2 linked regions of the Caenorhabditis elegans genome follow. The protein of the gene in region 2 purifies or fractionates together with the protein of the main gene of each other region. This does not show direct contact. Each region holds a gene or a part of one and is shown on either strand. Other genes may lie near its edges. The genes, in order: vang-1 and mig-1.

Evidence for each region.
Region 1: the proteins of mig-1 (region 2) and vang-1 purify together in Caenorhabditis elegans (affinity purification with western blotting; 2 studies listed by BioGRID). This does not show direct contact.

What each region holds. Positions count from the first base shown.
Region 1 is NC_003284.9:2,883,913-2,891,430, reverse strand, and holds vang-1 (Vang-like protein), read right to left. Parts: upstream 5,574-7,518; 5' UTR 5,560-5,573; coding exon 5,404-5,559; intron 4,592-5,403; coding exon 4,458-4,591; intron 4,408-4,457; coding exon 4,275-4,407; intron 4,223-4,274; coding exon 4,004-4,222; intron 3,237-4,003; coding exon 2,794-3,236; intron 2,450-2,793; coding exon 2,231-2,449; intron 2,180-2,230; coding exon 2,011-2,179; intron 1,256-2,010; coding exon 1,130-1,255; 3' UTR 750-1,129; downstream 1-749. Other genes in the region: B0410.3 (Neuropeptide-Like Protein), read left to right, coding at 150-320, 381-560.
Region 2 is NC_003279.8:954,414-959,347, forward strand, and holds the start of mig-1 (Frizzled-4), read right to left. Parts: upstream 3,094-4,934; 5' UTR 2,907-3,093; coding exon 2,779-2,906; intron 1-2,778.

The sequences.
Region 1 (7,518 bases), on a different chromosome or scaffold from region 2:
CTATTATCATATCTTCTATTTAAACGAGCGCATCTGTCAGTTGTAAACTATTATCTCTTTCCCTTTACACTTCCGTATTTGGGTCTCGATCGTCCAGTTTTTTGAAGTGTCATCTTCAACACAACCTTCAAAAGTCGAAAGCTATCAAAATGTTCGCGCAGATACTCCGTCAGATTATTTTCTTCAATCTAATTGTCACAATCGTCTCGTCAATGAGTCTTCTCGATGCCTACAGATCTGAGAAATTGACGCGACGTCGGATAGGAATGCAAAACACTGATTTCCGTCCGATTCTTCATTTGCGCGGAGAAGATGATTGGGTAAGTCAATACTTTTCAATTTTTTAGATTTGAATCGGTTTTCACCAATACTGTTTTCAGCAAAAACAAATCAATGACAACTTCTCGCCCAACCAGTTCATGGATGAGAACGGTATTGTATATGATATGGATCCCACGATCAACGACAGAATTTCCACGTTTTTCAATAGTCAGAGAATCACCAGCAGTAGATTTGGAAGGAAGAAGAGAAGCTTGATGTTCCCGAGACTTTTTGTGTAATCCAACTTAAAACTATCTTGTTCGCATTTTTTTTCATATATCCGTTTCCTTCATTTTTCATAGCGTACTCTCGATTTGACATGTTCTCTCTAGTGATGTGTTACGGGTATTTCCTGATGTACATCTAATCAACATGCTAAGTCAGTCACACTCAAACAAATATACCACCTCTGATCTCATAAAAATGATTTTTCTTTCCATGATGTATTTTTTTTCTTTTTTTAAAATCAAATATACATAATAAATAATCACTTTTTTATTAAGAAAAACTTAAACTTGAATAAATTATTCATATCATATTGAAAAGGTACCAGACCATAAGTCAATGTGAAGAAACTTAAAGAAAAATAAATACTCGAAGAAGTAAGTGACGCAGCGCGATAGAGATGTCAAATGTCAGTCATTATCATCTCGGTCAGATGAGGAACCCGTACATAGAAACAGCATGATGTAGAATAAAAGTTGAAGAAAAGAAGCTAACAGGTAAAAAAAATTTTTTAAAAAACTGATCAAATCAAATGGGCATTTTTTTGGAAGTTTACTTGATGGCATGATGACTAGCCCACAAATCAAACTGCCGACTCATTGCTAATTTTTAAGGAAAACTTTTCATTTCCAGGTTTGGCTTGCTCGGTCAAATTGAAGAACGGAATACTCGAGATGGTGCAAACAAGTTGAACTCCGCAGTCGATATCCTGAAAAAAGGTAATATTAAACGGTTTAGCAAGTCTGAGAAGTAACTGTTTTTTTTTCGAGCGAAGTTTGAGTGAATCTTTTCAAAAATTTTAAAAATTTTGATGGCGGTTTCAAATTTTGCTTGAGATGTACCTAAGTCAACAAAATAGCGTAAGATAACTTACCGAAATTTGCAATATAAAATCATTCAAAGGTACATGGGTTTAGCAGAATAAAATGATAAAAATTTGTTGCCAATCGGCTTTAAATAATGCAGAAATACCAATTTTCGGATTTTATTCGTAATATTTTTTGTTAAAGTGTTTTTGTAATGCTCTTGCAACCCTACCGACCGATCAAGCATTTTTTTTTGAATGCAAAACTACTGGAGGAAATATGGGACATACTACTGCTATGGTGCCAAAAATGCCAAATATAACAGAAAAACGTTTCGAACAAAATTGAATTATTTTTTCAAAAAGTGACAATTACTCAGTTTTGCCACTCATAATGTTGGAAGTAGATTTAAAAAGTTGTTTCTACTATTTTGTTTACTTCAATTTTGTTTTAAACATTTGTGTTCGAACTTTGTAAGTGTCCGAACATGCGAAATTGCTCTACATTTTTTTAATGCTTAGACTTTTCAAAAATTTGGCACTTTGCCAATACGTTGTAAAATTCAAAAAATCTTTAAAAAATTTTGGAGTGTTTAATTATGATATTCGGTCGTTTTAAATGTGTATTTAGCTTCAACATTAACTTTTCAAAATCTTACTGGGTTGTGCGATTTGAGCACTAGATACGTTCCGTGTTGAACTCCAGAGCTCACCGCCTCGTCGCAAATTACCGACCATTTCGATTCCCCGACAATTTCCCGTTGGGGAATACGGTCACTGAAGAAGCGTTGGAGAAATGTTCGATGAGACAACTTGAGTGTTAGGCATCTGAAATTTGAAAGCTTAATCTTTGAATTCTGTTTATTAAAAAAAACGTACCTTTCAATGTGCCTCGTAACTTCTCCTGAAGGATGTCTTGACTGAAGACGAGTAGTTTTTAAATATTTGGTGAGCGGCCGGACAATCCATGTGAATACGTTTTGAGCAGCGGTCAGTGAGTCCATCTGGTTGTTAATTCCAGGCTTTTGGTTCGTTCCGGACTCGGCAGTGTTCTGAACATGGGAGAATGCGTCTTCGGCGGCGGCAATTAGGCGATACCTGTAAAGATTTTATGAGTTTCGAAAAGAGGCCATTTTTAAAAGCTTTGAACCGCCATAATTTTTTTTGAACAATTTTCAGAACTTCTCAATAAAAATTTCCTTAATTTTAGGCCATTTTGTGTCCAAAAAATCATTTCGCTACCTCAACTCTAAAATATAATTCCAACAGTTGTGACAGGGAAAAGTGGACAAAATTTGAAATTATAGCTTTGAAAAAAGTAATATAATATTTAGGAAGTTGAAACAGCCGTTTAAAAAAAGTTTTAAACTTTTTTGAGAAGTTTCATTACAAAATTTGTTCAAAGTATCCAAATCGTTAGTTCTGAATTTGAAAACACTTACTTTCTCTTCTTTAACCGTTTTTCAAAATCAAGTTCTTCCTGCATCACTTCAGCATATCCACCAATCCTTCTTCTCGCCGCGGCTTCCATCAAAGCCCGCGTGTTGACTTCACTAACAGTTTCCTGCCCTCCAAATTGCTCGATATTGTACATCTTGAAGCCTGCGGTGCCTCCTTGCATTCCAGACTGCTTTGCAACCGCCGTCTGTCTGGCGTTGTCAAGGTGAATGTTGAACGAGGAGAATCGAGTTGTGTAGAAACGAAGAATCTCGGTGGCAGCTTCTTGAATTGAGCCAGCGCCAATGTTCAATGTATGCATTTCACCGTCTGGATCGCGAACAATAGTTACAATGAATTGGGCACGTAGACGACGAAGCTCGAGGAGCACAACAGAGAGATAATGTGTCCATAGAAGAGCGTCGAGCAGTGATGTGGAATAGGAAACCTGAAATTATGAATTATGATTTCACAATTTTTTTTCGAAATGATTCATAGTGAAGTCGAACAGTATACCCGCTTCTGAATTTTCGCTACAAATTATGAACTTAAAAAAAATGGTTCAACAAATAAACTGTTGCCTAAAATTTTGTCCACATGATAACACAAGTTTCAACATTTTAAAAGACTAAGTTACAGCGGCCGACACCTCGCGAGCCAATTTTTTTGCCACATCTCATGACTGTAACTCAAGAATGAACAGTTTTCATGAGCAAAGTTTTAGTAACAAATAATCCGCAAATAATTTTATATTGCATGTTATCAATCGTTTTTTCTTACGCAATCGGTAGAATTGAAAATTTCGGTTGAAAATCTGGTCATTTTTTTCAAAAATATTTTTAGGCATTTATTTTAAATAACTAATGTTTACACTTTTATTCACATTTGAACTGAAAGTTTTAGAACAATTTAACCTCCATTTTCAGAAATTGTTCACGATGAGTGCCGGCATTGCTACACCTTTAAAGGGACGTGGCAAAAAAAGGACTTACGAGGTGCCCGATGCTATATCTTTTGATTTCAATGACTTAATTTATTGAAACCTGAGTTATCAAGTAGACAACATTCTAGGTAACAGTTATGTAGTTGAATTTTAATTTTTAGGGTACCTAGCTTGTGCGCTATACTAATTTGAAACTATAAAAAAAGCCAGCAAAAAAATCCCAAAAACGCATATACTTTTGGCCACCACTGTGTTTGAAAAAAAAAACCTACGATGTACTTGTAGTTGTCGTATCTTTCAAACATTATCCTGACAATGTAAAAGAGCCAAAACGCGAACAGGATAAACATGACTAAAAATGTAAGCGCAGCTCGTACAAAGTACAACCTGGGCATGTCTGCCATGGCTTTCCTCCAATAAAGAACTCCAATTGCAATTACCAAAAAGATTGTTTTGATTGCCATTAAAAACAGGAGTCCTTCACAATCGACCTGCAATACATTATATTTTTAATGCGATATAATTGGTTTTCGAAATACTCACGTCACATTGAATTGCCGGCATGCTGAAGCCGAAACGTGGTGCGATTATAGGCAATGAACACATTATCGGCGCACTGACCACCGATATAATGCAAAGTAACGACGAGGCCAACAGCCAGACAAACCTAGAGCACCTGAATTTCAATAGTTATAAAAAGTGAAATTAGAAAAAAAGAACATTTACCGTCTTCCTATGACACGTCCAATTGGTGGGGTATAAATCACTTTTTCTTCCATTGTGAAAGAATCCGTCGTCATTCCAGTGAGCACGGTGGTGTTGTCTGCCCAGTCTTCGTTAGGTGGTGCAATCTTCTGGCCCTGCAAATGAATTATAGATGTACTCAAAAATAGATTTTCCAAAAGTGAAAACGCAAAGCGATAAGATATGTATATCGACTCGGCGTTTATGACATTTTAAATTTTAGATAAGATATTTGGTCGGCTTATATCTTATTTTGACACATCTGAACAAAGAATTTAAGGAGTTTCAGAAACTGAATTAAAAACGAATTTCGTAATAAAACTTCTAAAAAATATTTATGGGAGGTTCAATATTTCGAAAAAAAAGACGAATTTTTTTAAAAAATTCTCAAATTTTGGCCACGTTTCCGTGACACAGCAGTTTTTTTGTTTTTTTTTATTGAATATTTTGGTTGTTTATCTCACGGTATTTCATTTATTTATGTTTTTTAAAAACTTTACCAAATCTCTTCGTTCATCGCCTTTAAAATAATTAAATAAAGTTGAAAACGCAGGATAATTACATTGTATACTCAAAATTTTACGGAAATTTCAAAAAAAAAGATTCCAGCCGCAACGACATTGACGAGTAGGACAAATTTCAAATTTTAACTAATTTCAGGCCTACTTTTTAAGGAACTTTTTAAGCGAATAGATAATCAAAAATTACCTGAATTGGTTACCTACTGGCATAAAAATTGCCTGCTCAAAATGTGAAAAAATTAACCCTTTCTTTAAATTTTAAACCGACTAAAAACATTTTGAACACTGTTGAGAAGTTTCATTACAAAAAAAATGTGTTCATTTTGAGCACATATTGGTACCCAGAGCCGTTACTCCTCATTTAATTGAGTTTCATTTTAAAATGTATCTTCAAAAAAAAGGCTTACCTCACTAGCAATTGCAGAAAACCTCGGTATAAATGGCTCGCCAATTTCAGATTGTGCATATCTTGGTCGTAGTTGCTTCTTGTGTCCTTCATACCGAAAACCTCCAACGCAACTCCTCGTGTCTTTCGGAAGTTTCCTGTTATCTTGATACGACATGTTCCACCTGAAAAAAAAAATCTCTCCAAAAATTTTGATCCATTGAAAAGAATGAGATTTATAACATATTATATTTCATGTAACAAAAAAAATCCGAACGGAACGATAGATTGGCAAAGACAATTTGTGAAAAGAGATAAAACGAGCCCTTCGGGTTGCGCACACGCCGTCATAACATTTTCGTTCCACACACACACACACAACCGCAAGTAAACGATCCATCCACGATCAATGACAAACGAGTGGACGGAAAAGAGGGGACCCCGAAAAGAAAATAACCTCTAACACATTATGCAGCGTCCTCCTCTTTCTCCTTCCACTGCTTGCCCCAGCGCAACCCATTCGGCCAGTGTGTGCGTATGTGTGGTGTGGTCAGAGGCGAGCGGGGAATGGGAAGAGGAATGGTGAGTGAGCGTGCGTGTGTGTGTGTGTGTGTGTCTACTACTATCCGCTAGGCCGCACCAGATGCGGGGCTTTTCGAAAAACGGACCCCCGGACCGGAGCATCTTTCTTGTCACCCCTTGGAGCCGGTTTTCATCTCCCAATGGTCGTCAATTACATGCGACACTCATTGGTGATTTCAAAGAGCGGATTTGGGTAGAAGAAAACCGAAAAGTAAGATTTAGCTGACGGGCTCCTTATTTTGTGACGAAACATGTATCTATTTTAGGTACTTGTGTAATATACCTAGCTCAAAAATATGTTTCAATACGTTTTCCATTCATTTCTTTTAAAAATTACAATTTAAACAAAACGTGAAATTGATTTGTATTCTTAGGTTTAGAAAAACATTAATCCTTATGGACATAGTATAGAACATAATTACGTAAAATTTTCAAAATGATTAATATTTTAAATCCAGGTATACTTTCACAAGTACCGCATTTTAGATAGCTGAGAAAATCATAAAATAAGAAAATATGGCAACCTGGCAAGATATAAAGCTTTAGGACTATTGAAAAAGTTGAATTCTAAACAGCTCGGTACAATAAAATTAGCATCAATCCGTCAAGAGGTGAACGAAAAATGGAAAGACGACAAATCAGGGGTGTGCAGTAACAAAGATGAGTGGGGTGAAAATGGTGTGAGAGGCGAAGGTGTGCGCGCGCAGACACACCACTCCAAAGAACCACAACGGTTACGTAGATAACACAACAGTAGTGCAAATGGTAATTTCATTGGAGCACATTTGCAAGTGTAAGTGAAAATTGGGATCTATGCATCGATTGTTTAGTGTGACAATCGAAAGGTGCTAGAATGCTTCAACCGTAATTTTGTCAACGTTTTGTTGTTCTAATATTTATTTTTTGGTACTTGTGTAGCAGGAGCAAGCGACAAATTTGCCGAATTTGTCAAGTTCACCATTTGCCAAGCTCGGCAAATTTCAAAACAGTATGTTTGGGGAATTTGCCGAGCTCGGCAAATTTCGAAATTTTCCGCACACATCAAAAGTTTGAAAAACAATTTTGACTAAAACTACTGATTTTGACCTCAAAAATTTCAAAAAAATGACACACAAACTCACGGAACTTATGCAGAAACCAGATGTTTTTTCTGAACGCAGTAGTTTTGGTATGGAATAAATTGAAAAAATTCAACAACTCATTTCTAATGTATAACTTTGTTAAATCACAAAGAAACACTTTTTTTTCAAAAATTTTGTTATGTCTCTAATATGAAATATAGCATAAATAGGTATACATTTGTCAGAAGTTTGTATTCAAGAGTAAAAAAAGCCCCTCAGGGAAGGCAAATATCATAGTGAAAAACTCTAAAATGGCGGAATTGAAATTACCGGCAAATGGGCATACCAAAAAACTGCCAATTTGCCAAATTTGCGCGCAACCTCGGCACTTGCCGTAAGTTTTTGGCAAATTGTGGTTTTGCACATTTTTTTTTTAATTTCAGCATTTCAATTTCAGCCGGCAAAATTGTATGGATCCTATAAATGTTCCTACA
Region 2 (4,934 bases):
CCCCTCATTTCTTTGTTTTGGAGAAAGGGGCGTTTTGTGGTGCTCGGAGAGCCTGAGGACGTGACAAGTGATATATAGACGGGCTTATACTATCTGCTCGTCCATATTTCACGCGCCTAGGCAGAGTGCACGGCGGGAGGTGGAGACGCAGGTTCCCGTCCAACTGCCGCAGAGCATCCCCTATCTGCTCCTATCAATTGTTCGGAGAGACTTTTTTGTGAATTTTGCTTTTTGCAAGAGGTCTGAGATTTGGGATTTGGGCTTTAGGCTTTAGGCTTTGGGCCTTGCTTTGCGCCAGAGAATGGAAATTTGTCCGTATTTTCCCGGCTTATATCAAAAAATGATCAACTATAAAAATATAGAAAAAGATTTTTCAAGTTTTTTGTCAGTTAGTATTTTTTGATAAAACAAAAGAGAGCCGAGATATAAGCTGTCAAAGTAGAGCAAGGGTGGTTTGATCTACAAAAAATGTGGGGATTTTTTTTCAAACTTGCTCTACTGATAAATTAATAAATTACTCCCACAAAATCCAATAAGCCTCAAACTTAAGATCCTCCAATCTCATCCCCCTCATAAAACAATAATACTAAATCACTAGATCTCCGGTAGTATATATCAGAAGAACAGTTGCTCTCCCTCTCGAACCGACTTACACTTGAGAAAAATAAATTGTGGAAGAGAAGTGACGTCATCGTAACCTACCACTTCACAAGTTTATATATATATATATATATAAGTACTAGTTAGGACTAGCTAAGACCTAATTAGAACATAGGTATGGCCTGTAAGTTAGGACCTAATTAGAACTCACTAGGACTATATATATATATATATATATATATATATATGTAAACAAGAACCCGGGCGGGTAACCCCTTACGGTCAGAGGGGTGTCCTACACCAAGGGTATGTAAACTGTGTCCCCCAGATGGCGAAGTTGAGAGGGAAAAAGTGAAAAAGCGCGCCACATGGCCTCGCGACCGTATGTTGCAATTTCAAGCAACGTTTTTGATTTATTGGAGGAGAAATTTTGAAAAAGTGAAAAAAAAGTGTGACCCCATATGAGATGCGTAATAAAATTCCCTACAAGACCTTAAGAAAACGTGGCTGGCTGGCAAAAAACAGGTGGCAATAATAACGGAATGTGTATGTGTGTGTGTGTGTGTGTGTGTGCTCGAAGAGCATAGGCTCGTAAATCGTTATAATTGATGCTGGAGGAGAAGGAGACGATGGGCCTCCAAAGTGTTACACCTGGTATTTGTTGGGAAAAATTTGGGGGAAATAGGCATTAAACTACCTAACCTAATTGAGTTTTTTCAAAGCTTATATTATTATAACTAAGAGGTGTGATAATAAATAATTAAAGAACTTTAAAATTATCAAAAACGCTTTCAAATCTGTAAAGCTGATATTTTAAGGATTTAGTACTAGTTAAAATCTAGTTGGGACCTAGGTAAGACTATCTAGAAAGTTCGGACGTAACTATTTAGGAACAGTTAAGTCTTAAGGCCTGCTTGGGTACAGGTAAAAATGTTTAGAAAGTTAGGAACTAAATAGGTGAAGTAAGTACTAGTTAGGACTAGTTAAGACCTAATTAGAACCTAGGTAAGGCCTGTAAGTCAGGACCTAAATAGGACTTACTAGGACTTAGGTAAGACTAGTTAATGTCTTGTTAGGACTAGTTAGGACTAGCTAAGACCTAATTAGAACCTAGGTACGGCCTGTTAGGGAAGATCTGATTAGGACTTACTAGGATTTAGGTAGGACTAGTTAAGATATAGTTAGGACTAGTTAGGACTAGTTAAAATTTAATTAGAATCTAGGTATAGCCTGTAAGTTAGGACCTAATTAAGACATACTAGGGCTTAAGTAGGACTAGTTAATACTAGTTAAGAACTAATTAGAACATAGGCACGGTCTGTTAGTTAAGGCCTAATTAGGACTCACTAGGACTTAGGCAGGGCTAGTTTAGTTATTGTTAGGACTAGTTAGGACTAGTTATGTACCTAATTTGGACTCACTAGGACTTAGGAGGACTAGTTATAATCTTGTTAGTAATATTTAGGACTAGTTAAAATCTAATTAGAACCTAGATATATCCTGTAAGTTAGGACCTAATTAAGACTTGATTTGCTAGGATTTAGACAGGACTAGTTAAGATATTGTTTGGACTAGTTGACTAGTTAAGACCTAATTAGATCTTAGGTACGGCCTGTAAGTTAGGGCCTAATTAGGACTGAATAGGACTAAATTTCTTGTTACGAATAGTTAGGACTAGTTAGGACTAGTTAAAACTTAATTAGCACCTAGGTACGGTCTGTTAGGGAATACCTACTTACCAGGCCTTAGGTAGGACTAGTCATGACCTAATTAGAACCTAATTAGAACCTGGGCACGGCCTGTTAGGGAAGACCTAATAAGGACTTACTAGGACTTTGGTAGGACTAGTTAGGACAAGTTAAGACCTAATTAGAACCTTGGTATGGCCTGTAACTTAGGACCTATTTAGGACTTACTAGGACTTAGGTAGGACTAGTTAGGACTAGTTGGAAGTTGGGACCTAACTAGTTAGACCCTTAATTTTGTACACATGCTTATTAATATCAATAAAAATTTTAAAAAAAAACGACTTTTTTAAGTTTAACTATATAAAACTATAATTTGGAAAATTTGCTACTTTGCTTAAAAATCGAGAAAAAACCTAGCGTTTCTATAAAAAACCATCTTGAAGTAAATTTTGAAAAAACCCCGTCATCCAACAAAAAAAAATTCACTCACCTCGTTAAGTTATACGGCAAATCGTTGCACATCTCATGATCCACCTTTTGACACCTCTGCCCGTCCACACCAATCACAAAGAGCAACAGGAGCCAGGTTACTCCGAGGTAACCACGAAATGGTCCCATTAATGATAATGGAATTGGGGGCTCACAGCCTGGGTGGGGGAAAATATTGAGAGTAAAAGAAACAATGAGAAGAAAGACGGAGGATAGGCGGGGGGGGGGGGGGGGGCACACCAGTGGCAGCACCACCACGGCCTGTCCGTTGACAAATGACCCAAACGGACGGGGGGCGGGAAGAGTGTCTGTTGTGTGTGTTGGGAGATGGCTGGCGGTTATCAGATATTTGTATGAATGGTATAGAGAAACAGAGACCAAGAGAGCTGAAAGATGGAGAGGCGAAAGAGGAAGAGAGGGGGGGGGGTGGAAGTTTTTACGAGCCCTGTAATAAATATATCGAAGCAGCAAATCATTTGATGATAACGGAGGAGCGCGGGGACGGAGACGGCAATCATCATCATTATTAGGACCAGGGGTGTGCGGCGAATTTTTGCCGAATTTGCTGTTTGCCGAGCTCGGCAATTTACCGAATTTGCCAAGCTCGGCATATTTCAAAAAAGTAGATTTGCCAAATTTGCCGAACTTGGCATATTTCAAAAAAGTAGATTTGCCGAATTTGCCGAGCTCGGCATATTTCAAAAAAGTAGATTTGCTGAATTTGCCGAATTTGCCGAGTTTGCCGAGTTCGGCAAATTTGCCTATTTAGCCGAGCACGGCATATTTCAAAACAGTAGATTTGCCGAATTTGCCGAATTTCCCGAGCTTGGCATATTTCAAAAAAGTAGATTTGCTGAACTTGCCGAGCTCGGCAAATTTGCCTATTTAGCCGAGCACGGCATAGTTCACAAAAGTAGATTTGCCGAATTTCCCGAGCTTGGCATATTTCAAAAAAGTAGATTTGCTGAACTTGCCGAGCTCGGCATTTTTCAAAAAAGTAGATTTGCTGAATTTGCCGAGCTCGGAATATTTCAAAAAAGTAGATTTGCTGAACTTGCCGAGCTCGGCATTTTTCAAAAAAGTAGATTTGCTGAATTTGCCGAGCTCGGAATATTTCAAAAAAAGTAGATTTGCCGAATTTGCCAATTTTGCCGTTTGCCGAATTTGCCGAGTTTGCCGAGCACGGCATATTTCAAAAAAGGAGATTTGCCGAATTTGCCGAATTTGCCGAATGTGCCGATGCCGAGCTCCTGTTGATTTTTTTCCAAAAATTCAGTAAAACGACACAAATTTGTTTTAAGAATTCATTAGTTTCGGTGCTCCAAACAACATCAAAAAATATCAAATTTTTCCGAATTTGTTAAGCACGGCAAATTTGCCAAATTTGCCGAATTAGCCGAGCACGGCTAATTTTGAGATTTGTCGCACACCCCTGATTAGGACCGAGAAAAGGGCCTAACATGATTTCACAATTTGAAAAATGAAATTCAATTTTTCTTGGGAAAAAAGTATGAATCTCTTCCTCCGCCCGTTTCCGGCAGAAACAATTGAACCAAACGAGCCAAAAGTGCACATTGTGTAACTTTGTTGGGGAGTGTAGATAACCAGAAGAAACAAGATGGAACTTTCTTGCGATGAACAAATTTTGGAACACTGGAGGGAAATGATTGGTGTTTTTTAAGCTTTTTAGTCAATTTTTAAAACTGTTCTACAATAGGCCCAAATAGGCCTAATAGGCAAATAGGCCAAGTAGATTAAATATGCCAAATAGGCAGTATAGGTTGAATAGGTAAACAGGCCAAATAGGTCAAATAAGCTAAATAGGCGAGACTGGTGCTCAAATACTTTTTGAACTGGTAATGTTTTTTCTTCTACACAAAAACAAAAAAGTCCCTGCTTAGTTCCGCAAAATTGTGATTTTTTTCAAAAGTTACCCATTTTTGCCACTTTTCAATAGTTTTTGATAGGTTAAATCTAGATTTTCTGAATTCAGCATATATGAATTACCCGTTTTCAACAAATTTAGGCAAATTTTTATTTTTGCCCAATTTTTTTAGCCATCTAATGACTGATTTTGGGCAAAAAAAATTTTCCTGAAATTGTACAAAACCATTAGAAATTGAAAGGCTCCTCAGTTTAAAGGCACATGAGGTTTTT